Linked DNA regions of Lepisosteus oculatus. The protein of the gene in region 2 purifies or fractionates together with the protein of the main gene of each other region. This does not show direct contact. Links are inferred from orthologs where the notes say so. Each region holds a gene or a part of one and is shown on either strand. Other genes may lie near its edges.

Region 1 (6,840 bases), about 68 Mb from region 2:
CGCACGCACAGCCCAGCACGATCGCTGCAGCTGCTGAGTCTGAGTCCTGAAACACAGCTGAACGCCGGTTAAGACACGGGAGGACTCAGATCAGCCCGGATTTTAAAACCTGACCTTTCCGGTTCGGGCTGTGACACTCCGATTGAAACCCCTGAGTGTGGCGGAGCAGCGGCTCTGTGGCTCAGGAACCGCGCCTGTGGCTGGAAGGTTGCCGGTTCAAATCCCATGGCCGGCAGAGGATTGGGCCCCTGAGCAAGGCCCTTAACTCCAACTGCCGTATACATGGCTGACCCTGCGCTCTGACCCCCAGCTTCTCTCCCTGTCTGTGTGTCTCCTGGAGAGCAGGGTCAGCAATTCCTAATGTAAGACATTGTCTGTGGTGATCTTATCTTATCTATGTGTGCGTGAGGGGGGGGTACATGGAGGGGGGGAGTGAGAGGGGAGATGTTGAAGCCCTCATCAGTGGCGCTGCGACATTTATTCTCAATCTGCTACAGGAGACATACAGCTTACAAAGTAATATACGTTGTTCTACCAGCCCAATGCAAGATAAACATAGGATCCAGACAAATATCACTGCGTTTATACTGAATTTACACAGCTAGCTCCTCGCAACACTATGGGATGTGGAGGAAAAAGTGTCGTTATGCCTGAGCAAAAGGAATAAAAATAGTCAAACTTTCCCCTAAGGCACAGCCAGGTCCTCTCTCAGGGGCACACAGCACTGACATCACTGCTCCTGAGACAGCGCAGCCACCTGTGTGTTAAAACCAGTCAGCTGACTGCGTGTGAGCCAGTCAGGGGTTCCCCATCCTCGTTCAGAGGACCCCAACACCTGTTTTTGACCAAAGTCAAGATGGAACAAAGCCCACAGACAAACCAGTCCAACAGGACCAGAACTGGACCCCCTGCAGACACACACTGACCCTGCAGAACCAGACTGGACCCCCTGCAGACACACACCGACCTGCAGGACCAGGACTGGACCCCCTGCAGACACACACCGACCTGCAGGACCAGGACTGGACCCCCTGCAGACACACACTGACCCTACAGAACCAGACCGGACCCCCTGCAGACACACACTGACCCTACAGAACCAGACCGGACCCCCTGCAGACACACACTGACCCTACAGAACCAGACCGGACCCCCTGCAGACACACACCGACCCTGCAGGACCAGGACTGGACCCCCTGCAGACACACACTGACCCTACAGAACCAGGACTGGACCCCCTGCAGACACACACTGACCCTACAGAACCAGACTGGACCCCCTGCAGACACACACTGACCCTACAGAACCAGACTGGACCCCCTGCAGACACACACTGACCCTGCAGGACCAGGACTGGACACACCCGCCCTTAATCCTACTCTGGGCTCAGAGCTCACCAGGTCCTCCTGGATGTGTCCACAGGACTGAGAACTGATCAGGGTCACTGACAGGGAAGTGGAAGCCTGCACTGCAACTCCTATCAGGGGCAAAGTGGCAACACCGGGCCTAAAAGAAGACTGCCGCTGCCTCACCCAGACCCCTACGCACTGCTGAACCGTGAGACAGAGCACCAGGGGTGCTGAAGGGCACACTTCCCCTTTCTACCATGTTCAACACCCCGTGTTCATGTCTCGAAACACGGCACCCTGTGACCAGTTCTGCTTCCAGCTCTCTGGGGTGGGGGGAGTGGTCAGCCCTCTCCTCTTTGACCCCGGCAGCCAGGAGCAGGCCTGACTGCAGGAACTGACCTGCAGCTTGTCCATCTCTGCTCAGCCACGGTCATGTAGCCGGGAGGGGACCACTGGCCACAGTGAACATGGACCGGACCGGACTGGACTGGACCAGACCGGAGTGGGATGGATGAGGTGTGGGGGGGGATCTCCACGCAGGCTCCGTGGAATGCGCCACGCTCGGAATGCCAAGAATTCGCGTGGGGAGGGAGGCGAGATGAGCCGGGCCGATGTGGACGGGGCCGGAGCCGGACCCGTCCCGGCCTCAGGGGGAACCGAAGTTCCCTGTAGTGCCACGGGACCGGGGCGCCGGCGAGACGGCAGTTCAGGCCGTGGAGCACCACGCAGTGCCCGGATCGCAAGTGAAAATCAAGGCATGTCACCGGCGCAGCGCTGCAGAGCGCAGAAAGCGCCGCTTCTGACCCGGAGCAGCGCTCTGTAACACACTTGCGCAACCCCTCTAGTCGGGATCTTCAAGTCCCCCAGCCTGAGCTCCGCAGCGCCACGGAAGCTCCCATAACAACAACAACAACAACAACGCGACATCGTATTTTAACATAATTTCTTGTAACTCGGCAATCAATCCGATTTTGCTGCCTTTGAATGCGAGTTTAAGAATGGAAAGTCCACCATACACACTGTACAGACCCCGGTCCTGTTTAACCTGCTGCCCCCCCCCCCCATGATCACTGCAACGGGACCGCCTGGTGTCGTGGACCTGTCCGAAACGGAGCGGTTCGGTTCGGTTCCGTCCCGCCCAGCCCAGCCCAGCCCAGCCCAGCCCGCCACTCTGTCTCACTCCGTGCGCCGCAAGAGCGCACAGCTCAGCCCGGGGGGAAGCCGATTAGACACCGGCCGCTAGCCGGCTAGTCCCGGGACGGACCAACCCCCGCCGGTCCCGCACCGGGACCGCCAGTTCGGACGGGGGCTAACTCACCGAAACGCAGCCAGTCCGATCTGTCGAGGCTGTCCATAACCTTGCAGAACTCGGTCGTGATGTGCGCAGGCAGGCGGTACAGGTACTGCCCCTCGATACTCCCGGCGGACATTTTCGTCTGCTTCGGCTCCGGGCGGTTTCCGGGAGAAGTGGCCAGCGCCTTCCTCGGACTTACAACGGTCCCGTCCAAAACCATCGCTCCGCTGGCGGAGGCGGCGACTCCATCTGCGAGGTTCCACGCTACTGACTCACTTCCCCTTTAAGACTCAGAAGGACTTTTTTTTCTTTCGAAGGGGTTGGTTGGGCTCCGAGGAGGCGGGGAGGACTCCGGAAACGCGCTTCGGAAACCATGGAAACCTGGTCCTGGCCGGAAACGCCATCTTGAGTGTGGCGCACCGGGCACAGGGATACGCGACATCTCAAGGCGCTGCGTTCCCGTCTCGGTCGGTCCTCTCGCAGCTCAATCCCAACCATGACATGTTTACAAACGTACCGCTCTCTCACCCTCAAAAAAATAAAATATATATAGAGAGAGAATCATAGCGGAGAGATTACTAATAATAATGCTGATTTTGAGGCGTGTTCCAGTGGGAAGACATTCGACGTAACACAGTGCTCTCAGGCCCACTGGAATCGTGTTGTGGATTGAAACTGGTGTCGTAAAATACGGAGAACTGCCGCAGACAGATGGGCACCCTGTGCTGTGAAATATCAGTGTTCATTTCAAATATCCGCTTCAGCCTCCACATAGTGTCTGGGTGTGTTGTAACTGTCACCAGCGACCATTTTTGTCACAGGTAATAGTCCAAGTACAACAGTGAGTTAAAATGCCGGTTAAGACTCCAAACTGGGCATGAGATGTATTTCTGCAGGAAGAAACACCAAATTTCCAATTGATCCATCACAAGCTACCTGTTATTATAAAGTGACTCCCATTTCCGAATAACATATATGTCCATTTATTCGGTCTTCTGAGGTGGGGTGGCTTGAACTAGAAATAGCATTTATGTTTTTATTTTTACTCATATTTATGAATATGCTGTAATGCTCCAAAGATTTTATTGTCATTGGAAAAACCACACCTAAAGATAACAACAGTGATATAGCCAGCAGCCATATCACCCTGCAACTCACAACTGGCAACCCACTGAAGCTCAGCAGGTGTGAGCCTGGCCAGTACCTGGATGGGAGACCTCCTGCGAAAAACTAAGGTTGCTGCTGGAAGAGGTGTTAGTGGGGCCAGTAGGGGGCGCTCACCCTAATGCCCCAGTACAGTGATGGGGACACTATACTGTAAACAGGCGCCATCCTTCGGATGAGATGTAAAACCGAGGTCCTGACTCTCTGTGGTCATTAAAAATCCCAGGGTGTTTCTCGAAAAGAGTAAGGGTGTACCCCGGCATCCTGGCCAAATTCCCCCATCGGCCTTTATCAATCATGGCCTCCTAACAATCCCCCTCTATGAACTGGTTTCATTACTATGCTCTCCTCCCCACTGAGAGCTGGTGTGTGGGGAGCGTTCTGGCGCACTATGGCTGCTGTTGCATCATCCAGGTGGGGCTGCACATTGGTGGTGGTGGAGGGGATCCCCATTACCTGTAAAAGCGCTTTGAGTGGAGTGTCCAGAAAAGCGCTATATAAGTGTAAGCAATTATTATTATTATTATAACAAGCTCTCTCGCGCCCCAGAACCATCCACAGAAATGCCGTGATTGATTGATTTGATTTCAGCAAACACTAATTAAATGTTGCAGAGAGTCAAAATATTTGTGAGGTCTCACAGATCATGTCCATACAGATGCCGTCTGTAAAGCAGAAACCATTTTTAGCTCTCAAATCAATTTGTGTTAAGAAACGTTTCATTTAACATCTTTGGAGTGAATTCCACCCCTAAATGCTTTTAAGGAGCAATCAATGGCAATTAGTAATCAGACAGCACAGAAATTCCATTGAGGTCCAGGAATTGGGAATCGGAGACATCAGGAGGGGTACAGCAAAGTAGCTGAGAGTGGAGGAGTAGTAAGGGTTGTGGGTTCGAATCTCATGTGTCTGTCGACGTCAAAGAGCTGTTAACCCCTGGAGAGGAAAACAGAGCAGAAGAAGCAGTGAAGCCGACACAGTCCCCCGGACAGCAGAGCTGACAGGAAATGAAAAATGGCAGAATTCACTTTCAAGTGTGGAGACTCTGCCTCTCATGCTGTACACTGAATCTCCAATACCGAGAACTCCGCAGTACCCCCAGCTTATCATTCTGTTTCTGCTGTTTATGGCAACGTGCACCTTGGACTGTGAAGAGAGCTGATCACGTGCTAAACGTGATACGAGAAAAAAAAAAGAGTGAAGGAATAGCTGGTGGTCCTGTCTGTCATCCGATTTTGGCTGGAAAAACAAATGGGAGAGTCCAGACTGAACTGCGCAGCTGGAGAAGACATGTGGGGGTGCAGCACCTCTGCTTCCGGCCCGACTGCGCTCTGAAGCATGCTGCCAGGGGTGCAAAGAGCTGTTTCCGTGACACAGGGAGAAATGCAGATTTGAGATTAATGCTCTGGCCTCAATCCCATCAAAGCAATCTAGGAATACAGAAGGACGAGCATAGGGAGGGGGTTCAGAAACGGGGATGAGCTGTTTAGGTACCTTGTCCTATAATCATCAGCATTTTCTTCACCCACTTTATATCCAATTCAGGTCGCAATCCGGAGCCTATCCCGGCAGGCAGGTGGCGAAGGCAGGATACACCCTGGATGGGAAGCCAGTTAATTGCTGGGCACACACAGGCACAGACACTCACACCAGGACCTGTTTTCCCAGAAGCCAATTAACCCACCAGCATGTCCCTGGGCTGTGGGAGGACACCAGAGCGCCCGGGGGAAATCCACGCTAACACAGGGAGAACATGCAAACTCCACGCAGACAGCAACCCAAAAATTGAACCCGGAGCCCCAGAGCCGTAGGCAGTAATAACTGCTGTGCCACCATGCCAGCCTCCATGATCACCCATCAATAAAATAATAGACAGGCAGGCTGTCAAAAAAATCCAGGAGCACACGTGCAAAATATGAACCCAACTTCCTATTACATTTAGTCAACACTTTTTGGCGAAACGCGCTTTGCCTTTTCATGATCTCTCTCGCTGTACTGCACTCCAGACCTTTTACCGGCGGGATCCATATATTTTTCATTTATTGATGTACAATGATGCTAAATTAATACAGAGCTAGAAACAACCCAGGATGCAAACCGCATGCTGAAACGGGGTGAGCTCACTGCCAGCCGTGAAGACAGGCAGGGCACAGCACAGAGGGCAGATCGTTACTGCTGTTGCTATTATTACAGCCACGCAGTGTAAAGGCTCATAAGAGAGCATGCTCTTCTGAGAGCGCGAGAGGAACCGCGCAGGGCCTCTGTGCAGCAGAGCTTTCTAAGAAACGGGGATGTAAACTGTCATCCGAGCCGTGTGGGCCGCCTGGAAGCGACCTGAATAGCGGCGCGCTGACAGAGGGGGAGACCGAGCCCCCCCCCTCCCCCCCGCCTCTCTCTCTCCCACCCACTTGAATGGTGTGCTTGTTCTTGCTGCAGCAGCGGCAGCAGTTGAGTCATGCTGAGTGCATCCCGCGCGAACTGCCAAAAGAGCTCGGCGACCCCCCCCGCGCTCTTCGTCACAGGCGCGCTCCGCGGTCTGCAGCAGGAGGGAGGTGGTTGCGTCGTGTGTCGTCCTGACGGTCCTAGGATGTGTCTGTGTGTCAGTGTTGTGAATGTCCGCAGATGTTGCACTGACTCTATCGGCTCCGGCATTTTCTGTCATGGACCGGTCGTGCCAATAAAGCTGTTGCGATTTGAATTTTGCTGCCAGAGTGGCGTGGCGCTGTTTGCGTGCTCTGCCTCGCCCTGTCGAGCAGAAGGGCTGGAGAACGAACCTGAGAACAGGGGTTCGACCCGACTGGCTCACTTGCGGGCCAGCAGTTCATCAATCCGACTCCCCAAAGCAACCAGAAAACTGAAACTGACCCCAGGCTCCTCCCCGCCACCCTGTATTGGATAAGGAGGTCAGAAAATGGAAGGATGGATCTGTAACCTGGTGAAAAATTCCACACAGTGTTCTCAAAGCAGTCTCACTAGTGCCTTGCAAAGGTTTAACGTGACACCTCTCGAGCGTCCCCACATTGCCTAGAAGAA
Region 2 (7,477 bases):
TATCCAAAGCACTTAGGTGCAGAAATCCCTATTGCGTCATAAGGGGATCTAAGTGCCCATGTGTTTGGAATACAACTCAGTCAACACCAGTCTAAAATGTGAAAGTCTGAATTTCTTTTGGTGGATAACAGGGATGCCAATTATATAAAAAAGCACTACAATAATGCATTTTAAAATACAGCAATATTAAAATGTGTTAAGATCGCCTTGCAAAGAAAATTGAGGGACCTGTAAGGAACAATTAAAAGTAATGAACATGAGAAATAATTCTCTAACTTTTCACTTAAGCATACTCTTAAAATGAGAAAACTAACCCATTTCAAGACATCAGACAAGAAAAAGGTAACTTTATTCTAGATACAGGTTTGGGCAAGGACAACTACATTACTTTTGGAAACGTTTCTGATGACGTCTGAAAGTCCAGCAGAGTATATGTGAAATGGTATAGTTAGTCACTTGCACCTTGCTGGTGTCCCCACGGTTAGTCCAACTCAGTCTGAAAACCACCTGCCAGGCCCTAACAAAAGCTGAATTTTACACATGAGCAGATGCTGACACATTGCATGTCTCCACCAACCTCTTCCACAGGTGCCGGACTAGGTTAAAGCCAGCAATATAAAAGAACAGCACACGAGCTTGCTCCCAAAACGCGGCTGGGAGGACTGAGCGACTGTTGCGACGTGGGTTTTGATCATAACTGTACCAAAACATTAGGTTATTAGTGGTGCTGATGCCAAGCCTTAAAATGCCAGTACAATGGATAACCGATAGCAAAAATAAAGACTCCTAAATTAAAATCCCACCTCGTCTACAGCATGACTCCACCACCATCAAACATTTCTCCTGTGCGAAGAAGAGAAATTCATCATAGAACAGAATAGTCAGTGCAGCCCAGTGAGTTCATTCCTATTGCAGAGGTACCGGCACTGGCAACCCTGGGACTTCTGGTGGCCATAATTGGGTTCATGAATCGTCCGTGATGCTCTATTGCAAGATCACCTGTAGCTGCTGCTGCTATCCAGGAGTGACCCCTCAGGTGGGTGGACTGTTTTTTTTTTCCAAAAAAGCGTGTGTCCTATCGGTTTCTGGCCCTGCTGCTGTCCCGTAGGTACACACCTGTCAGCACAATTCCCATAGCATGTCTCCCTTCTCTTTCAGTGAGCAGCTGCAGCATTGCAGTGTGACTGAGTCAAACGAACCAGCGAGGCCTGTACACAATCACAAATTCGCAGGCGTACATTTCTTGGCATGTCCCACATTCTCACATGTCACTCTCGGGGAATGACAAGAAGTGCAGAACAGGCACACCAGAATTAACATTTTCTACAGTCACATCTCACCATTTGTAAAGTCATTATGAAGCTGCTGTCTTGGTTAACGGAGCACGGCTTAGTAAGGAGTGAGGGCACTCATTTCTAAAGTGTTTGAAGTATGATTTTGGAAAATTATCTGGCTGCATAATGCATAATAATCGAAGCAAATTTTGGCCCAGAGCGAAACCTTTTCTAAGTTCCTTGTTTTGCGAATGCATTGAGCAGGAGCAACTGAGTTTATTATTTTGTAAGCTGTTCTTTTGAGCAATGCGGGCATTCCGAAAACAGACTGTGGGTTTTAGTCTACTTAACAAATACGGTTACAATTCACCACTCTGTGGAATGCACTGTGGTTAAAATGCTAATGTTTCCACTCGATATCTATTAATAAATAGTGTGTAAGTTGTTTCCCTTTCAACCACAGTAAACTACGTTGTCAGTACTCAATACATATTTAATGAAGGCCTTGTTGTAAACCACTGTTGTAGAATTCACTCGCATAAAGGGGATTTTCTCTTCTTCACACAAGATGTGCAACACAAAATACAATGCTAAAAAGTGAAAACAGGTCTTGCAGCTCTTAAATCAATCGCGATAACCGAAATATGCGGAGGAGAGCAGAGGAAAAATAACTTATATGCATTTATTCTGTGGTACACAGCAGATGTAACATTCAGCCGATTATTTCCACACAAAAAAAACGTCGTAGCCTTTTCACAATCCCAAAAATATTAATTTAATAAATCGCGGAGCTGCAGTTTTGCGGGGAGTAAATTTAACTTCTTAGCCAAAACAAGCCTAGACGAATCAATCAGCCCCCCTAGAAAAGATTGCATCTAACCGTGGGAAGTGCAGACTTCAAATGATGTTTCAATAAGTGATTATACATTCCCTTGAATTCAGTCCTCTCTAAGTGGCCTAGATAAAAGACTTGCCCTTATTTAAAACCTTACCTCTTCGACTTCTATATCATTATAATCAATTTCTTCGAAAGGGTATCCTGGTGGAGTTTCAATCATTTCTGCGGACGGTGCAGACATCGCTATTCGTCAAAGTTGAGGGGTTATCAAAAACATCCGGAAATGCGAAAAAGTTCACATAAGATTCATCGTAATAACGAGCAACAACAGAAACAACTGATCTGGTAGACCAATTATTACTTTGCAAACGTAAACAACAGTCTGGAAAAAAAAAGTCTGAAGACGTTGCTAATATAGCCTACTGACAGCAAGATGCTGTTAACCTAAAAAAAAAACAACAACACGTGGATAAATACCTCACGTTAAAAAAAAGTATGCATTTACAGCTACTAAAATCACTGTTACTGAACGATTAGTTATTAAGCGCCTAGGCCGCTGTCGGCCTGGCTACAGCCTAGGGATGAACTGACTACCCCTTGCCGCAGACTGAGCTTCCCACATCGGCGCTGTGCCTTGAGCGGAGGTGCGTGTCATTTACTCTGGCGAACTGCGGCTACAACCCGCGCGTACGAGCAGACCCGTTCCCAAAAAGGAAGAAGTATCTCGGACCCATTTGATCCGGCGATATAAGTTTAAAGCCGAGTTTCCATTGACTACAGTATTTTTTTTTTTCCGCAGTTGCTGCGGCAGCTCCAGGAAGTGGGTGTTGCTCGGAAAGGCGCCCCTCCGGCTCCGCTGCGTTCGTGCTCCCGCCCGTAGAGGCGCTACTGACAGCGACAGCCGGCCCGCCGAGGCGGCGCTTGAGCTGTGAAGGAGGGGGGGGCGGACAGGGGTATCTGCAATTGCCCGAAAAAATACCCCGTTACAGACCACATTATGATCTTAGTTACAGATGTAGTTTTTACGATTGCATTGGGTTCGTCTGAAACGCGTATACGTTTTAACACCGGGGTTAACATTTTGAAATTACATGGTTTTTTTTTGGGGTGCAAAATAATTAACGGGCCCCGTTAGTTTCCTGCATTGGTTAAGAAATGTTCATATTAAATGCATATTTAAAAATCCATACAGTAGATGGACACATTCAAATGCATGGAAGTCTGATAAGCACAGGGGTGGAAGGTGGTGAGTCTCACACAGTGTCACAGCCCCGGGGCTTGAAGGCAGACTAGGGAGCCTGATGTGAGTTTTCATGATCTGCTTGTAGGGTCTTTACCAGTTCCCAGTCATCTTTCGGAGACACCTGTGATTTCCTTAGGGGCGACACGCATAAATCATCTTTCAACCAAGTTGTTGAGTAAAGGTTGAAGTTGAGTCCTTTATTCGTCTGCATAGAGGTTTGTAGCAGTGTAGTATATTCTACTGAATACAATAACATAAATGGGATCTTGCTTCTTTTAAGAGACTCCTTTACACTCCTTATTTAAATTAAGGATAATTGACAGCCAGTTGAATTACTCTTAAAAATACAATTGTTTAAAATTCATTTTGTTGGTGTAGTCAAGGGGCCCATCTGGAGTACAGTATCTTGTTTTTGTGCAGGAGAGGAGAGGAGAGGAGGAAACCAATATTAAGGAGACTGCATGAAAATAAATTAAAATGAGGAGTTAAACTGGATTTGCAAAGTCTACTGTGCTGCTGAGTACAGAAATACAAGAGAAGTGTGTTGTTTGTGCTGCGGATAGATAGTATCGGACCTCAACTGCTGGACAGTTGTAGCTTGTAGTCACTAAGACCCTGTTTCACTCAAAACAGGTTCTTTATATCTGTGGAACCACAGATCAGACCAGACAGTTAATCTACATCATTATAGTTTTGTTCCTCTGTCAAGTACAGTCTAACATTAATTGTAAAAGAAAACATGGAAAAGTAACCAGAAGCGACACACATGAGCACACGGAGCAGCACAAGAGCCCCATGGACTACAGTTTCCCAAAACCAATGTCCCACAGGACAAGTCCAGCAGCGCAATTCTCCGAAAATAGCTCCAGCTGGCCCCCGGCGTCTGGCTCTTTCTGCCACAGCAGACCAAACAGACGAAACTCGCGTCTGGTCCTTCAGTGGCCTAAACTGCACGAACTACACTTGATCTTAGCCAAAAGGCAGAGAAACGTTGATGGTCTAAATGACCTGCAGTAAGTGCTCTCTCCAGCTTTGGCCTCCAGAGACATGTGGTCCATTATGCCTTTCCCCAGCCTTGTTTCCTAGTGTTGTGTGAGTACAAGTCAAGTACAGGTGAGGGTGGAAGGAAGATGATGCCTGAGCCTTCCTCTGCTGCTCCGTGTAGAGTCCCCCTGTGATGTCTAAGTCCTCTCCTATAGTCCGCCCTCTGGTGAAACCCCGTGTTCCCCGAATTCTTCTCTTTCAGTTCTTCCTGAGTGGGGCTTGTGAAGCCTCTTCCTGCTCCAGAGATCAGGACTCGAAAGCTGAGGGGTGGGTGTGTCCTGGTGATGCCTAAGGTGTGGGCAGAGCTAACGGCTGGAGGCCCAGTCAACAGACTGGCAGCAGTGTCCATTGGTCTCCTGTTCCAGAGGCCCCCCCTGGTGTCAGACCTAGATTTCCCGGCTAGCAATCCCACAAGTCACCTCTGAACCGTGTGATTATTGACGTGTGTCTCTGCAAACTGTGTGTAGTTCAGTCTTTGTGGATTCCCCACCGTCCTACCCTGTGCCTTAGGAAGACCTTAGATTGAGGGGAAGCTTGAAGAGGAAAGACAAACGGATCCCGTGATAAAGACCCTGGCCACCATGTGCAAACTTACTGTCTGTATAGGCCCCAGGCTCCTGCCCCACTCTCAACTTTTGTCGCTCAGTTTTTTGTGACATTTGCCGTAGTTTGCTCTTTAGTTGGCACCTTCTTTGGTTTTCATTCCCTGCACAGTGTTATTTTTTTAAATGAGTAAAATTGTGATTTTTTTGTTTCATATTGGGATGCACTTTCTGAAGCAGAGGTTGTAGCGAGTATTGCAAGAATGTGAACTACAGTACTTTTGATGCCGTTGAAATAGTGAAGTTTATTATTTTAATATATCCTGAATGCTGCCTTTTAAATTATGGTGCTCAATTATACAATTTTAATAACATTTTTTGTCTTTTCTCTTCCCATTAAGATTTACAACCAGAACAAAAAAAACTGCAAGTATGAGCATTTAACATAACAGCCCTGAGTTAATACAATTTGATTATGAAATATACTATCATCTGTATATATTTCTTCAGTACACCACTTCAGAACTCTTGATTTACACATTGTTGACAAATATCTTACTGTTCTCCTGTCATTACTAATGTGACTGCTACATTGCATAGTTAAAAGGATTAGCGAAACCTTCCTGCTAACAAGAAATCTTATTACAGAAGGAATATACGTCAGACGTCTAGGAGTAAATGTAAGTAAACTATTAAAATAAAACACCATGAATACATTCATGTATTTTCTAAAACAAAACATTGATATAACAAAATTTCCACAATAGAGACATATGATATTGCAGCGTCCACCCCCAGCGCTGGACTGCTAAGGTCTGCTGTCTGTCCTCTCCCCTTGCTGCCTTGCACACACATTCACTTCCTCCTTTTCTTTCTCTTCCTCTTGAACTCCTAACTGCCTCCATCTTCAGATTTTAATTTCAAGAATGTAATTGTCATGGCCGATGAATTACAGAGTTGCCAAGACAGAAACAATTAACAGGACATTTACAGACATCTGCGGGCACCACATAGACGTTAACTCTCTGTACCTCAAACTGAGACAACCTGAAAAACACAAGTCTAGGCTACAGGCTGGGAGTCATGACACCTAACTTGGATGCATCATCACGTCAGTGTGATATTCTGGGCACGAGCATCTGGTAGCTACGGAGCCTGTCCTTCCAGTGATTGATGGCACCCTAACTGCACACCCCAACATTGATCAGGCCCTGGGCCTTCACTTACTGCCCTTCCTGTAGGCTCATCCCGACATGACGCACATCTCAGCAGGACAAACGCAGGACAAAGCCGAGCATTAATGCTGCTCGTGTACAAAAGGCTCTCCTGCAAGATTAGAATGTCACAAGTTCTCGTCGCCGTCGATTCACTGCATGACTTGATCCCTATTGAACACTGGGGGTTGAACCGAGATGATGTGTGGCATGTAGGGCACAGAGACCAGTGAATGGGGAGGTACTGCACATGCTTGTCTAGTATCTGTGAAAGAAATGGGTTAGAACCCAACTTGACTGCATTTGAAAACCTGGCGCAAGGCATGTGAAGCAGAGGTACAGCATAGCTTTCAGCAGTGCTGCTAGCCTAGAAACTTTCACTCAAGATCCCAAGTTCATCATCCCTGTTGATGAAAAATCAATCAGCTGCAACCCGGTGCAGAGCATCACTGGTGTAGATCTTATACTGCTTCCAATGGTGACCAAATGACATCTATCTATGTCATGTCTGTTCAGTAACATGACAGCTGCTGCTACAACAAAGACTGGGTCTTTTTTCAGTTAACTTTGTGAATCTGTTGCAGGTCTTTTGATTCAATTCAAAATACTTTATTCATCCCCAGGGGCTTGACCAATTAAATGTCTTCCAGACTTTTTCATTCCTCAGAACATAGACTTACAATTACTGAGATAACGATGAATGAAACTCTGTGCTTTATTTTATAGATCTGTATTGATCTATATTTAATATTGATTAAAACTGCAAACAATTCTGTACATAGACTGCTAATGTACCCTTTAATTAGTTTTCTGATTCTTTGTGTTTATTTTTAAATCTTTTACCTGTAAAGTATTATTTTAAATGTGACCATTGTTTATCATTTTTGAGGTGACTTCTGATGTCTTTCACTGCATTTTTTTCCTCCTGCCTTTTAGGGAGATCAGTGCCCATTGCCCTACACAAAATTGCATTACACTTCAAAGATAATTAATTTCCTGAACTGACGTGAACCGTCTGGACCAGAATGATATGTGTCATCTGAACATTTAGAGACATGCATACATATAGAGGTGGAGCAGTATTACAAGTTTTATTGGAATTCGACAGGGACTTCATACGTCACAGACTAGAAATAGCTGACATTAACTTCTGCAACAAAATCACATCTGTTGTGAACAATGCTGACTCAGAGGTTAAACTAAGGTAAATTCTAAACCCTAACTCAATGTCTTGTTCCATCTGGCACAGGTGTGCCTTCTGGATGACAGCCATATGATCTCCTTTTAAAAGTATTTTGTAAAACATCGGTTTCTTCATTTTG
Region 3 (7,965 bases), on a different chromosome or scaffold from region 2:
ATCTCCAATCTTCTCCAGATGTTCCGACAGATGTGGGATACTATGTTTGCACCCTATTACAGAGCTGCTGTCACAGACTAAGCAACAATCCAGCATTTTTTCAAAACTTGGCCGACTTTCATTGCAGACTCTGAAGAACTACAGGTGGTCTCCTTGAGTAAATACCATATATTATTTATTTATTATTATTTTTAATCAGGCCCAGATTTTGCAAGAAGACCCGGAGAGAAGAGAAATAAATAAAACTGGACTGTCCTAAGATATACTGTGCTGCTGTGCAGGAGATTTCAAATGAAGGCCAATCCTCAGAGCCAACATACCTTTGAAACATGGATGCTGCTGTAAAGTGTTTTTCATTTTATTTTCTGTAATCTGAGCTGTAAGGATGTCTTTACATACAGGATATACAGTTCCTTCTAGGTTTGCTCATATCCCTGATACAGTAGGAACACAAAACATCATAGAAAGAATTTATGTATTGGATAATATGTCTCACTTAAAATGAATCTGAAAATGTTATGTTTTAATCTAAATAGCATTGGACAGAGTAAAGTCATATGTCATGATTGGTTTAAATCCAGAAAACATAAAGGTAATTGGTATTTTGTAAATCCCAATCTTGTATAGATTACACTATATGCCTCTTATAATCTGCTATGAAGTTCTAGTGCTTTTAAAGGGAGAATTGTAACCATTCCTCCAGCCAGGATTGCTCTAGTTCCTTCAGACCCTGGGCCAGTAAAGAACATTTATTTTGTGTGTAGCTAACCACGTCATTGTCCATTGGAATGCATGCTGAGGATCACTGTCATGCTGGATTGTGCATGGTTTCCCAAGCTTGAGCTTTTTTGCACAGGGAATTGGGTATTTGGTATTTGGGTATTATGGTTCTCCCTTAACCAATGAATATAAGCATAAGCTTCACATTTTTTAGCCAAACAACACTGATAAGCATGTCGAAAAGATCAATTTACGTATGTTTGTATGTTTTGTCTTATTATAAGACATGGTTCCAGTTGTCCATCAGATGTAGTCATTCAGTCACAGCTAAATGCACTATTGGAGGCTTCTCTATATATCTGCACTTCCCAAAGCAAAAAGTAAAGATTTGTTTTCATTGAACTTTATTTAAAAGAGTACTTAGAGGTGTGAAAAAATGTGTTTGTGTTTCCAATTGTGTTTTCTGAAATTCAGTTAATTATTTCGGACAAATATTTAATTCTAACTTTGCTATGTGCAATGCTTTATTATGATTATAACATTTTTAGAATTTTTTAAAGAAGTTACATTATCCAGGCCATATCTCATTCTGTTATAAGAGGTTTTTGTATGATTACTGTAAATCTAGAGGACATTGTAAATATTACATACAAAAACCAAAAATCCACTAAAACAATTAGACTACAGTGTACTTCGGAATCATTGGCACACCTTGATAAATATGAAGAAAAAAAGTATAAAACAATGAGTTCATTAAGCACTGAAATATATTTCTAACATAAGTAATTATGCTGAATTAATGATTAAATGAAATCAACCAAGACAAAAACTATTATAAATTATTTTCTCCAAAATAAAAGAAACATATTTTATTACAATTATTACTGTTTTTAGTACTTGGTGGACCCTCCCTTGGGAAGGATGATGGCAGTAAGTTTTTTTATATAATGCTTTATCCGATTGGTGAACACACTGTGAGGAATTCTAGACTATTCCTCCATGCCGAACCTTTCCAGGTGCTTGAGGTTTGTAGGTGTGCGCTTATAGACAGCCCTCTTCAGCTCAGACCGCAGGTTTTCAATAGGGTGCAAGTCTGGCGACTGAGTTGGCAAAGCGTTGATTTTCTTTTCTGTCAACAATTTCTTTGTTGATTTTAAAGTATGTTTTGGATCATGGTCATGTTGAAAGATCCATCTTCGGCCAAGATGCAGCTAAGAGGCAATCAGGATTATGGCCAAAATATTCTGCTACTTTTGAGAATTCATGATGCCATCGATCTTAACAAGGGCCCCAGGACCACTGGCAGCAAAGCAGCCCCAGAGCATCAAAGATCCCCCACCAAATTTTAAAGTAGGTATGATGCTCATTTCAGTATATGCATCCCTCTTCTTACGCCAAACATGACTGTGGCCAAAAAGTTCAATTTTGATCTGACCACAGCATCCACTCCCAGTCGATATTGGTATTTTGAAGGGTTTACTTTTTTAAAATTATTTGCTTTTTGAAGATCAGCAATGGTTTGCCTAATTTCTGTTGTTAGTTTTTTCAGCTTCCCCATGCTTACAGATGTCAAAAGGTTTTCCTGTGTGCGTTTCGTCATTTTTATACCCTAGGGAAACAGGAAGTAACTAAGCTACACACATTAGTTCCTTAAGACAAAATTGAACTCATACAAGTATTAATGTATTATTTTTTTCAAATGTGTTTGATTGTATTTGAAGGGTTCCAATAATTTTGGCACCTGTGTTTTTCAGATAAAACAGCATTGCTTGTTTGCAATTGAACCTTAAAATGAGAAAATGTTTTAGAAAAAGAGGACAAGTATTCCCCTAACATGAGCATTAAATATCATTATGTGGTTTATTTTATTAATACTTTTTTCTTCATATTTATCAAAGGGTGCCAATAATTTCGGAGTCTGCTGCATATGTACATTCCTGTACTGACAGTCCTTATTGATCTTCAGCCCAACTCCATTCAGTACCATTTGCTTTGTACTGTCCCTCAGTGAAAAGAATTACTTTCATCAAAATTTTGGAAGTGAAAGTATCGGTTTTATAAAATCCAACATCGTTTGTATAATTTCTTGTCAGTGAGCTATCCTAAATGGTCTATATAACAATGCTTGTGATTTTGTGTTTCTGTCCATAAATTCTTTGTACAAGTGGTGTAACTCTTCACTGCAGGAGTGCTCCACTATGGTGAAGACGATAGCAAATAGTGAAGTATGATGCTGGGTATTCATATTTTTCTGTAAAACAAAGGTTTCCAAGAGATATAATGACTGTAAATCCTTCATGTGATCCTGCTGCCCAGTGAAAATCCAATGTAAGTAGCGTAACGTGTTGCCTGTTTTACTTGGGTACACTCAAGGAAATTAAAAAAAATGTCTTATGTGTGATGTTTGAAAAACGAATTCTTCAACTTCTGCAGTACTCTCAGAAAGGTGGCTTTTGAATTATGTGTATCTTTTTCAGCACAACATTCATCAGTAAATTGCCATAGTAGCAATAGCAGTTAGCTCATCTGCCTGGCAGATCTACTGTATCTCTCCTGTGTCTGCATGCTCTATTCCCCCCTTCACCCAGTCCACACACATGCTGTTCAGATTCACTGGTGTCCCTGAATTGGACAATCCATCCCCAAGTGTATGCCCTGTGATGGGCTGGTGTCCCATCCAAGGTGTAGTCCTGCATTGTGTGATTCGGCCTGCCAGGTTAGGCTCTGGTTCACCATGACCTTCTTAAGGATAAAGCCGGTATTTTAGATGGCTGGATTGGCTTTAAAAAATGTGGAATATGCTTGAATTACTTACTGTATATCAGAGGGAAGAGCAGGCTATGAAATCATTGCCAAAGTCATTGCAGACCCCTGATCTTATCCCCACTGAAACCTTATTGGTAGATCCTAATGAGTGAGTGATGCAAAACGTTCAGTGTTGGCACAAATCTACACTGTATTTGATATTTTGATATTGGATCATTTGCACACGCCAGACAAAAAGCTGTGTGGTAGAATGTGCTGCTAGAGTCATGCTTTAGTCTCCAAAGAGTTTCCTGTTTCAAGCAATGCAATATATTGATTCATTACCTTGGTTGTTTTTATTTTTCTGAGTGGCCCCATACTTATTATTGTCAGAGTAGGTTTGTAGAACGTGTTGAACCATTAAGTATATTTAACATTTTCTTCCACTGACTGTTCAGCTGTAGCCATAGATTATTTCTTAGTGTCACCACTTGGAATATTGTTAACCTGTGATTAGTGCTGTGGACCCATGCTTGCAGTATAACCATGTTTTTTAAAATTCTTTTATCTTAACCAATTTAGTGAATTGAGAACAAATTCACTTTTCCAATTGTAACCTTCCTGGTGAGGAGGTAATTGTTTCACCTGGGATTTGAACCTATGACCTCTGCATTCCAGAGCCCTAACAGTACTCCATGCTGTCACCTAACTACAACCAGATAGAAGCCAAACAAATTAAAGACTGATGGCAGAAACTGATATGTTATATGTAATTGAAAATCTGTCTCCAGGGGACTTTAAATTTAAATTGTGGGGATGTTTTTTAATTTTGTGGGAAGGATTCAAAATGTGATCTTATTGTTAGGTTTGTCATTTATGTACAGAATGTCAAATTCATATAAATAGCTTTTATGACCAGTGTGCAGTATGGATACTTATTAGCTGATCTCTTCATCTTCCCCGTGATCCTGGTTTTATGCACAGAAAATTCATTTGTCCGAGAAGCACAGTCCTCATTTTTTTAAATACTCTCTCTAGTGATGTACTGTACAGTATACAGTATGAGGCTAATGTACTGTACATATATTGTCACGAATGTTGAGTTGTCATTCCATCATTAGCACTTTAAATACTTTGCAAAAACCTTGTGGATATAGGTTAGAATAAAAAACGATTAATTTTTATTAAACAGAATTTTGCTGTTGGAAGTAAGCCTGTCTGATAAACGTGCCCGAGGATGTCTTTATTCGGCACGCGAATGGGTAAAAAAAGGGCAAGCACACAGTTATCCCATTTTTGAGGATGAAGTGGTGAGAAAAAACCCTATACTTATTTCGTTTTATCTTGTATATTATATATTTAACCGAAATTCTAGTGGTGCAATAACAAAATATACAATCAGCCTGCCGTCCCGCACTTAAGATTTTTTTCTACCGGGGAAACGGCTAAGTTTCATTTTTAACTGCAATGAACAGTGTTGAAGAAGCGAAACCGAAAGACGAACATCTGTTTACTCAGTAGCTTGGGTACCTCAACTGTAATCTGTCAATACTGTATTCAGACACAGAGTTGACCGAGAGACGTTACTCATTACAAAACAAACACTGTACAGTAAGTTAGGATTAGATTTGAAATTGTATTTTTTAACGTGAATTTTTATTTTCGACATGACGATGAGCGAGCTAATCGAACTGAGGATGTATATCATTTGATATGCGAGTTACTCGAAATACAGTAAGTATTGTTTTGTTCTCATCTTTTTGTCACTTGACGTCCTGAAGCCTATGTCTGGACAATATTCTTTTTAACAGATTGGGGCATTTAGTATACAGAAGTCACAACTATAGTATTCTTAAAAATGACAATGAGCAATGCAGAACTATACTGTATGTACTTTTTTTTTCTTTGGGGGCTGAGTAAGGACATCACTGCGCTCAGTGTAAACTACTACTTATTATGTTTATTGGGCCATTTAATAATACCTTTGTAATATTTTTTAAATTAATGCAACAGAGTATTTTGTTTGATTCTAGTGCAACCGTCCTACAACTTATAAAGTAGTTTCTCTGGCCTTTGATAGTCTGTTTTCCTCGTGATATTGGTTTAACATGGTGACGTGATTAACCCCTGTGAATTTTAGTATTGCTCAAAGTCTTGCATGTACAATCCAATTGGAAATAATGACATTTTAGAACTAATAAAACAATTATTGTATTATTATAAATTAATATTAACCCATAATTGTTTTCAATAATTTACTGTAAGATCATTTAACAACAACAGGATTTTTGGCTTTTATATCTTGATTTCAAAATCTTGATGGAATGCTCTGCATTTCTGTCTTTTCTGGGACAGGAAAATGTGTGTACAGTACAACAATTTAAACTAAACTAAACTTTAAACCGCATATACAGTACATGGGAAAATTACAAACTGTAGAAATATAACCTTTTGATTCCAGTTTTCACTAGGATAGGCTGAAGTTCACATTGAACACTATAAGGTATTTGAAAGGGAGTTATTTTATTGTTACAATTATGTGGGAACAGTCAAATTAAATCCAAGGATTGAATGCTTTGTGAGAAGTTGGATTATTTGGTGAGAAGAGTTTGTTTTAACCTGATTGGTTAACGGGTAGCCTCCTGGCCATAGGGATGAGGAGACTTGAACCCCATTCAGATTGAGTGAACCAAGGGGTACAGTAGCTTTAACACGGAGATGAGGCAGAGGAGGCATGCTAGAGAGGATTTATGGAGCTAGTTTGGTGGTGATGGTGATCAGCTGCTGCTGTGCGAGATTGACATGTCATTATTATCCCTCCCAAACTTCAGTTAATAATTTCCAGTTTGAAAAATATATAGTCTCTGGCACAGTTCTGGTGAAAGAGTAACAGATCAGAGTCTTGGATAAGACAAATATTTATTAACAATAAAATACCATGACTAAACAACACAAAATGTTCCACAACATACACCAGTTACCCTCTCAACACAAGAGGGTACAAGATTATATATACTATATATTTCAGAGGCCTATGTTTTACTGACCCACAAACCTGAATGCTATCCCAGAAACCTGAAACAATATGTCATGACTAAACAGTCATTACATAGAAACAGAAATACACCCTGCATCATAAAAGTATATGACTTCGAACTAAAAGTCTTTTCTTGCAACATGGATGCTCAAAATTAAAAAAAAATGTCACCAGCTAGTAGAACATTTTTCATAATTTCTTCAACCAGGACAGCAGGATCTCAAGAGCAAGGTTCAGATTACCTACAGTAGCCTGAATCTGGTCTCCAAGACCGATCGGAACAAGGTCCTCTTGCATGACAGGGTTTGAAAAAGAGGAGGGTGATTGGAGTTCCTTCTGTCTGTGTCCCTCTTTTTTCTCTCTGTCTTCCTTATTTATACTGCTGTCTGTAGCTGTTGAATGTTTACAGTATATTTTATTATTGTTAACCAGAATAATACACCAGAAAACCCATATTAATCATCTGTGATTACCTGCCTTTAAGATCACCTGCAGCTAGGCAAACATTACAAATAATCCTTATTATTTCTGTGTTATGAGTGAGGCTTTGGACAGTGCAATAAGATGTGAACTGCAAAAGTTCCTGGATTGTAACATTTTATTATGTGGTTGGAGAAATAAAACCTGAATTTCTGTGATTATCTCATCAAGCTGGTAACAATAGGTGCATTCAATCCTAGTCCACAGTGGACGCAAGTCTACAAGACTCTTTTAGTACCAAGAGATTAAGATCAGCAAATTTGTTCTCGCCAGTGATGTATGTGTGACTGACAGCCATTGTGTTAACTGTAATGTCCACTTCATGTTCACTGGAATAAACTTAATTGTTTCCTTTCCATGGGTAAATTCTAATACTACTTTTACACAGGGTGTACAAATGTACACATGGTCAAAAGTCCTCCTTCAATAACTCAAAAATATAATGAACTCAAGTTTTGTAGTACCTTTGCAGACCTTATTAATCTGCTGTCCTGCCCTGTAGTGTATCAGTCTCTCTGTTGTTTGGTTTATAGGCTTTCAAACTATATGTACAAATTCAGAGCAGGCAAGCTTTGTTTTGTTTTTATTTTCATTATGAAAACTAGTGGTGTGATCATGCCAGTGCACTAACTATAAATAATTAAGAACAGATTGGTAATGGGACTGGTTATATCTGGTTTTATCACAGGTATTGATAGTGACTGCACCTTTCAGCAGAATTTTTCATCTTTCTCAAACCGCCAATATTGGTCATCAGGAGTCACCTCTTGCACCCCCAATTAACACCCCCCTTAGGTCACCCTAATGTTTGAATGTATCGAATGAATGTATTAAAGTACTATTATTTGTTTTCATTTATCAGACTTTTCTTCAAGATTGGATCAAACATGCTTGGCCGCTGCTTTACCAGAAGTTATTCCTTTCAAGATTCAATGTCCAGTACCAGGCTACCAGGTGTGTTAGCCGAGGAATCAACATTGAAT
Region 4 (6,928 bases), on a different chromosome or scaffold from region 2:
GACATTTTCTGTTTATTTTTAAAATTGCCATCTACTTTTGCAAAATCTTGCAATCTTGCTTAGAGTGCAGTTTCAATCCATTTCAATCAGAGCAAAGCCATTGGTTTCACATTTTAACTGTTACAATAGCTATCCAGGTGGGGCCTGCAAGCTTTTTTATTGGTCAAAACTGAAGCCCTGCACCCAGCTGACAATACACAGACGACACCCTACTGACACGGGGAACTGCATTTCAGATTTTGGCATTCAAAGTTTTGAACCCCAAAAATGTAAGCGTCCACCTCAGTGCAAGCTAAAGGTATCTTGTTATCCTAAGAAAACAAGATGTTGTTCTATTCCGATTCGTCCATCATCCTGGCCAGCTTCTCCAACACCAGTGAAAGAGGTCCACAGAGAATAACAGATCCTGAACAGCCACCTTTAAAACACTGCCGAGTCTGACTTACTCATTGCGTGGTGGCCCGGTGTAAACTGTTTTCAAGACCACCAGAGCATGGCTCTGATGGTAGCACAGGAAGACTTGGCCGAAGCCGCCATAGTCCAGGGGTTCCTTCTTGATGAGGTCCGTGGAGCTCATACGGATGGACTCCAGAGCCATGGCTCCGCTCTCCAGAAGCTGCTCTACAGACAGCCTGCGGAGAAACAACGTGGCAGAGGCCTCAGTACGACAGTAACACGGTGTAACGTGCAACAGCCTAGTACACAACGCAGTTACAGTACACGTGTCTGCTTTTGCCCTCAATTCCAAGTGCTTCGCGCCCTCCTGTCACCACACAGCAATCACAATGCTACCCACGTAACCTTCCCAATTCGATCCCTCCAGGCTTCGCCGAGCACTCGGAAGAACCGTCTGAACAGTTCTTTCTTCATGCTCATGCAAGCTTTCCAATACGTTTAGCTTCAGCTGAAATCGATGACTTGCCACATACCATATAGCTGCCAGCCAAGCCAGGACAAACACACAACTGGCTACAGCAAATCAGATGGGCTGAGCAAGAATACCTGGGAGGTTGCGAATGTACGTCTGCAAATTTGCCATGTGTGAATTGTCTCAATGAAAGACATACTGCTCCTTTGAAAATGGGAGGTGCGCTCTTCATACTTTGGTATGCGTGATCGGGTTCAGTTTTTTCGTTTCTGGGTTACACAACCTCCCCCTTAGGTCTTAATTAATCTTATTAGTTATGAAATAGAATCTAAAAGTCGTTAATCTTGTTAAAATGTCCCTCCTTTGCTATGACGTACAACTGCAAAAATAAGGGCACTATGCGCTATCCATGGTAAAACCACACTATTTAAGAAAACATTAAATTTGTTAAATACAGTTTGGAAACGAAACATACGTACGTATGGGAGATATTTGTAATCGAGTATTTGTTCTTAACTTTTGTCTATTTCTAATATTCCTTTGCAAGAGGAAAAACTTTTTGCGTATTCGCAGAGAACAAACCAGGAAAGTTTGACGAAGCAGAAAAGTGCCTACAACCTATAGAAAAGGCTGTGAATATTCACATAATAATATCGGCATTATTAAGTATATTTTACCTTTAAAAAGACTAGCATATTTAGAAAGCGTTAAATACCGGACAGGTATTCAAAACCAATACTACTGTCAAACCAGTCGATACATCTATCGTTGACACGTCCAGTTCACAAAATGCCCAGCCTACAGATGAGACAAAACCGTTCCTACATCCCCCGGAAAAAGACATCATTATTATTAGCGTTTTATTTGAAACGGAATACCTTAGTTCCTACATCATACAAAAAGGGTTAAAAGCAAAACTATTTTTCTTTACAAAAAAAAAAAACTCTTACTCTGCAGAGGACGATTAATCGGAAAAAGACCATTTACGAGAGTTTCACTTACTTTTACGCATTCCCCCGTCGTTTAAAGCACCTTTTCAGACTTCCTGTTCAATATTCGGGTCTGGGATCAGACAAAACGAAACCCAAGAGCAAGAGGGAAAACCCACTGGTGTCGATTCCTCAGACACTAACAATCGACACCGAGCAACCGATCTCCACTCTCTTTTGCATGACCCAGCAATACTGAAGCGTCCTACAGAGCCCGAACAATAGACTGGCAAACTGAGGGTTTGAGGAAGAACTGTACTTTAAAGATGGATAAGATTACAGCAGGAAAATACAGCTCTGTTTCCGCGATGATCAGAGAGTCCACTGTTTATACTCCATCTCCCAGCATAATCACCGAATTAAAAGTATCTGTTTGGATATGATGTCGGTTTACCTATTTTTTAGCCTTTTAATAGTACTGATACTAATAACGACAGCGACAAAGCACTAATAAACCTCATGAGTGCCGGTAAAATAGAGGATATATAAGCGTAGAAGTATACAGGTATGCATGTATATAATATAAAGGTAACCAAGAATATGTAAAGTAACACAAAAAGAAAATAAATAATAACTTATGGAGGCAGATGTGATATTGGCTGTGTGTGTGTGAAGATGTCGTGCAAAACGGTTCCACGCTCCCGGCAAACACGCGTGGGTGGAGCTGGAGGCAAGGTCCAATTCCGTGTCTGAGATCGAGAGGGGTTGAAAGCACAAACCTTTTTTTTTCTGTAACAAGAACCAGCTGTTTTAAGGCCATCCTGCTTTGGAAGGAATACAATTTAATAGGTAAAGTTATTTAAGGTTGTGTCAAGGACCGGTCAGCATTGCGAAACACGGCGCTAAACCTACCGCCTGGCTACAATGTGTCCGGGGCTGGCAGCCAGGTGTGAGACAGACCACCCCACGGCCGCAGGGCGGCGCCCTTCCTTTGTCGAGCGGACCAGAGCGCAGTCCACGTCCACGCTGTCACAACAAGCTCTCAGGAACGGGAGGCGAGACGTGAAAATCGATCAAATAAAATTCCTGAGAAGACTGCGGCGCCGAGACTGTATGAGCCGTCTGAGTTTAACTAATGACGTTTCCCGGAGACCTCAGAAAGGGGCTGGGAAAAATGTATAGCCCTTCGCAAGTTCCCTGGATTGCCCGAGACGGTGTTTAATATGCTTATATTAATATACTTTAATAATTATAATAAACTGATATGTTGAGAAAGTAGGGGTATACTGTTAACTGAATGGTGCATTCCCAGCGAATAAACAATAAACAGTCTGAGAATATTGATGGTTTGCTTCTTCTCCTTGCGCCTGCTGCGGAGGGTGGGAGAGCTGTATTTTGATGAAAAACTGAATGGAACTGCAGGCTCGCCCTTTTTTCCCACCCAAGATCCGTGGTGTGACGGTAAAAAGGTGTGAAAAAGAGTGTTTTCTCTTCACCGATGTCTACGGTTTCAAAAAGGAAGCAGTGAATCGCGATTCTGAAGCTTTTCAGAGCTCGCTGGCGCACAGCCCTCCAAAATGTGGAGTCTCTGTTCTGGGAGAAAACATCTCGGCCGCACACTGTACTGTACGTGACCACGGCTAACCAACAGCCGTCACCACACCTGTCTTTTTCAAATATACTGTATATAAAAAGCACGAACTTATGTCAACAATACAGATTAATTTATGTATTCATATTCACAACATCTCATGTATTCATATTCATAGCATTTAGAAAATTAGTATTCTAATATTCAGTATAAATATTAGAGTTTAAGATATTCTTATTAGACCTGTATACTGTAGCAGTCTGGAATTCACCGTTATTTTTGTTTTGTCTTGTGTAGTCATGGTTATAGTGCGACATGCTGTTTTATCTTCTTGTATTATTCTCTTGATGTTTTTACCAAGATTACATTTTGGAAGATTGTGTGGATTTAAAAAAAAGACATCCACGAAGGACTTTGTAAGGAAGGGAGCTGGGGAACACCGATTTGTTTTTGTCGCGCAGGGTTCGGCCGAAAGTGTCCTACAAAGCCCGAACAATAATAGACTGGTACAGTGAGGGTTTGAGGAAGAATTTGTACTTTAATGTTTGATAAGATTACAGCAAGAAAAAAAAATCAGTTGAGTAGAAATGGGCAACTCCATTTCCTCGATGGGCGGAGAGTCCACTGTTTACACACTCCATCTCTGAGAAGAATTAACGAAATAAACTTTAATTATTAAAGTATCTGTTTGGACATGATCACCTTTTTGTAGCCTTTTAAGAGTTGCCATTCAAAAAGCTGAGCGAATACCTTTTGACGAACAAAATAAGATTTACTAATACAAAAAACTTCAAGAATAAGCACAATTTTACAAAGAGGGACTTATACAAATAACTATTCAAGAAAAGGTACACTTACAAAGAGGAATGCCAAAGCAGTAAAAAAGAATCTTCGTTGGTAAAACGCAGTTTGAATTTTGAGGAGGGAATACACTTGTTTGATTTATAGCACCACCTAGTGAATTCGGCTCCAAACGCTATTCAGATAACTACACTTCTGAAGTTGTCATTCTTTCCAAAACAAATTCTGATTAAAATACAAAATAACAGCAAGAAATGGGTGAACGTTTAGCTGAAGAAGACAGCTGAAGGAAATATCTGTTTTTTTTAAGGTATCTAACTGAAAAGTTATGGATCACACACCGTATTGCAATATTTTTTTTTAACTGAGACTTAATGTTATGTATCATGCCACGAACTGCTTCTATTGACATTTGTATTGTGTATTTGGTTACTATCTTCTAGCTGGCTTTGAGCAGATCTGGTCAGATAAAGCTAGGCACACTGATCCTGCTCAGTACTGGTGTGGGGAGTCTCCAGGGTGATCAAGCAGGTGTTACCCTTGACCAGAATACCCAAACGCGACACCTTAGCCTGTTGATTGGGGGAACAGTGCTACAGGTCGTAGCATTGTAAACGTGGGTTTTAACGAAGACGACGAGGTCCAGCAAGAGGTATAGGCAGACGTTCATACAGCCAAGACACCAGCAGCAAAGCAAGGCTGTTGGGTCTTACGCCATACTGCTTTCTCCCGCCTTACCGGAACAGGAATGACGCACAACAGCCTTACTACGCATGACATGACGCATGTCACGTAAAAACACTATAACTAAATTAAACAAAACACATGGCTAACTATGTTTACTACCTGTTACAACTAACTACATATCAGTATTATTATTTGGCTTCATCACTCTATTCTCCTCCCCACTGATAGCTGGTGTGTGGGGAGCGTACTGGCGCACTATGGCTGCCGTCGCATCATCCCCGTTACCTGTAAAGAATTTTGAGTGGAGTGTCCAGAAAAGCATTATATAAGTGTAAGGGATTATTATTATTGAAAAGTTCATTCAAACTCCCTGGATCTGTAAGAGTAGAATGTCCTGAGGATGAGGACTTTCATCTTACACAATCAGACCTACCTGAACTGAAATATTGCTTAATTGAAAGATTGCTGGCGCACAACGGCTGCCATGCTTTTTCTAGGAGTGTGATTCACGTCAGATCTGGGTGACGCGGCTGTACCCCTACAAGAAAAGTCTTTAAGGAATGGATTATTTATGGAGCAGAATCGTTAGATGCTGCTTATTAAATCAGTTTTATTGTTCCTGTTAATGATTCTAGTTTTATATTCTGTATTCAGAATATAGTGTACCCGAATACCTGTTTTTCATCTTCCAAACGAATTATTGGCACTGTCGCCCTCTTGTGGCTAAGATTCTTAAGTTCACAAAAAAGACGTGGACGTACTGGATCTGAAAATAATTATTTCTACATACATGTCATCAAAGCTTATTTCTCTGACAATACAAATGAAGGTCTGCATATAAAAATACTACAGAAAATCTAACATATTTATACATTTCTGCTTATTTAAAAGGGGGTTTGGTGCAACTTTCCCTACGAACACCCTTTGGGCTGTTTACCCGGACCACGCCCCCTCGAGCACCTTCGCCACGCCCCCCTGTTAGTCTACCAGCCCTGTTCCTCGTCTCCTCCCCGTGTCTGTTCGCTCCCTTCCGGGTTGGGCTGTCTGCATAGTGTCCTGAAAGACGCTATGCGACACTTAGATCGCAAAAAAAAACCAAAACAAACCTGCAACAAGAGCAAATGTCATCTTGTTTGCAATTTTTCTTAAGTTGTTATGTTCTAAACTTTTCTGTAGGGGTGTCGTCGTTTAGTTTTTAACTATTTTTTGACAGCTGTTGTAGTGATGCCATCAGAGCAGTTTAATTTGCATCAGAGCAATTGAAATTTTCTGTGTATAGTATTCCAAATGCTCTTTATATGAAACGCTGTGGTACCATGAGGTACTGTACATGATAGATGCAATATATTTGTATTACAATACACCAGGAAGACGTTCTCCAGTCGCAGAAGGATTGTTTCCAGAGGATTATGCTTTCCAGGGTTCAGCAACAATTTTAATACCTGGATGATAAAGAAACTTCGATGCATGTAGTATACATATAACTGACACAGTACATATAACGTGTTTGCACAGTTCTTTTCAGAGGAAATTCGAGAGTTAAAATGATTGGAAACGGAAGATGCAGCAGTCAGGTGTGAGAATATGAGTTAATCTCTGTCCCCACTGTTACACTCCTTTGAGGTTTACAGCCATTTCTTTATCAGGGCGTTGTTTCCTTTCTAGAAAACAGTTAAAAACATTAATGAAAATAAAAATGAAAAGTCACCATCAGCAATACCTTGTTTATCTAACGTCTTTTCATCATTCAAAACTTTAGTTTCAAAATGCACTGTGTGGCCATTAATATAAATAACGGCCGTGCTTTCGGCACACCTGCTGCCTTTGCACTGCTTTCCAATGTTTTCCATTTCTTCTTCCACAGAGTTGTTCATGACAGTGAGCTGCAGAATTATGCAAGTCTTCCAGGGCCAGGCAGAATGGTAGGTGATATCAGGTGATGCCGTGATTTTTCCACTGCTCTCTTATGCCGCGGAATATAATTAACGAAGGCCTCCAGTTTCACCTGTCCACTTTGAACAAACGTGACTGTCGTAACCGTCCCTCCTGCAT

Evidence for each region.
Region 1: the proteins of map3k7 (region 2) and irak1 purify together in Homo sapiens (affinity purification with western blotting; 5 studies listed by BioGRID). This does not show direct contact. The link is inferred for Lepisosteus oculatus from reciprocal best matches to the Homo sapiens genes MAP3K7 and IRAK1.
Region 3: the proteins of map3k7 (region 2) and usp18 purify together in Homo sapiens (affinity purification with western blotting; 4 studies listed by BioGRID, with this or other methods). This does not show direct contact. The link is inferred for Lepisosteus oculatus from reciprocal best matches to the Homo sapiens genes MAP3K7 and USP18.
Region 4: the proteins of map3k7 (region 2) and ripk1l purify together in Homo sapiens (affinity purification with western blotting; 5 studies listed by BioGRID, with this or other methods). This does not show direct contact. The link is inferred for Lepisosteus oculatus from reciprocal best matches to the Homo sapiens genes MAP3K7 and RIPK1.

What each region holds. Positions count from the first base shown.
Region 1 is NC_090697.1:75,465,900-75,472,739, forward strand, and holds the start of irak1 (interleukin-1 receptor-associated kinase 1), read right to left. Parts: upstream 3,001-6,840; 5' UTR 2,864-3,000; coding exon 2,668-2,863; intron 1-2,667.
Region 2 is NC_090697.1:7,519,417-7,526,893, reverse strand, and holds the start of map3k7 (mitogen-activated protein kinase kinase kinase 7), read right to left. Parts: upstream 3,003-7,477; 5' UTR 2,768-3,002; coding exon 2,707-2,767; intron 2,356-2,706; coding exon 2,267-2,355; intron 1-2,266. UniProt on the Homo sapiens protein: Serine/threonine kinase which acts as an essential component of the MAP kinase signal transduction pathway. Plays an important role in the cascades of cellular responses evoked by changes in the environment.
Region 3 is NC_090702.1:9,053,638-9,061,602, forward strand, and holds the start of usp18 (ubl carboxyl-terminal hydrolase 18), read left to right. Parts: upstream 1-4,960; 5' UTR 4,961-5,199; intron 5,200-7,844; 5' UTR 7,845-7,869; coding exon 7,870-7,936; intron 7,937-7,965. Other genes in the region: pex26 (peroxisome assembly protein 26), read left to right, coding at 1-81. UniProt on the Homo sapiens protein: Interferon-induced ISG15-specific protease that plays a crucial role for maintaining a proper balance of ISG15-conjugated proteins in cells. Regulates protein ISGylation by efficiently cleaving ISG15 conjugates linked via isopeptide bonds.
Region 4 is NC_090701.1:4,748,209-4,755,136, forward strand, and holds the start of ripk1l (receptor-interacting serine/threonine-protein kinase 1), read right to left. Parts: upstream 3,019-6,928; 5' UTR 2,710-3,018; intron 2,203-2,709; exon of another isoform or gene 1,871-2,202; intron 633-1,870; 5' UTR 599-632; coding exon 447-598; intron 1-446. UniProt on the Homo sapiens protein: Serine-threonine kinase which is a key regulator of TNF-mediated apoptosis, necroptosis and inflammatory pathways.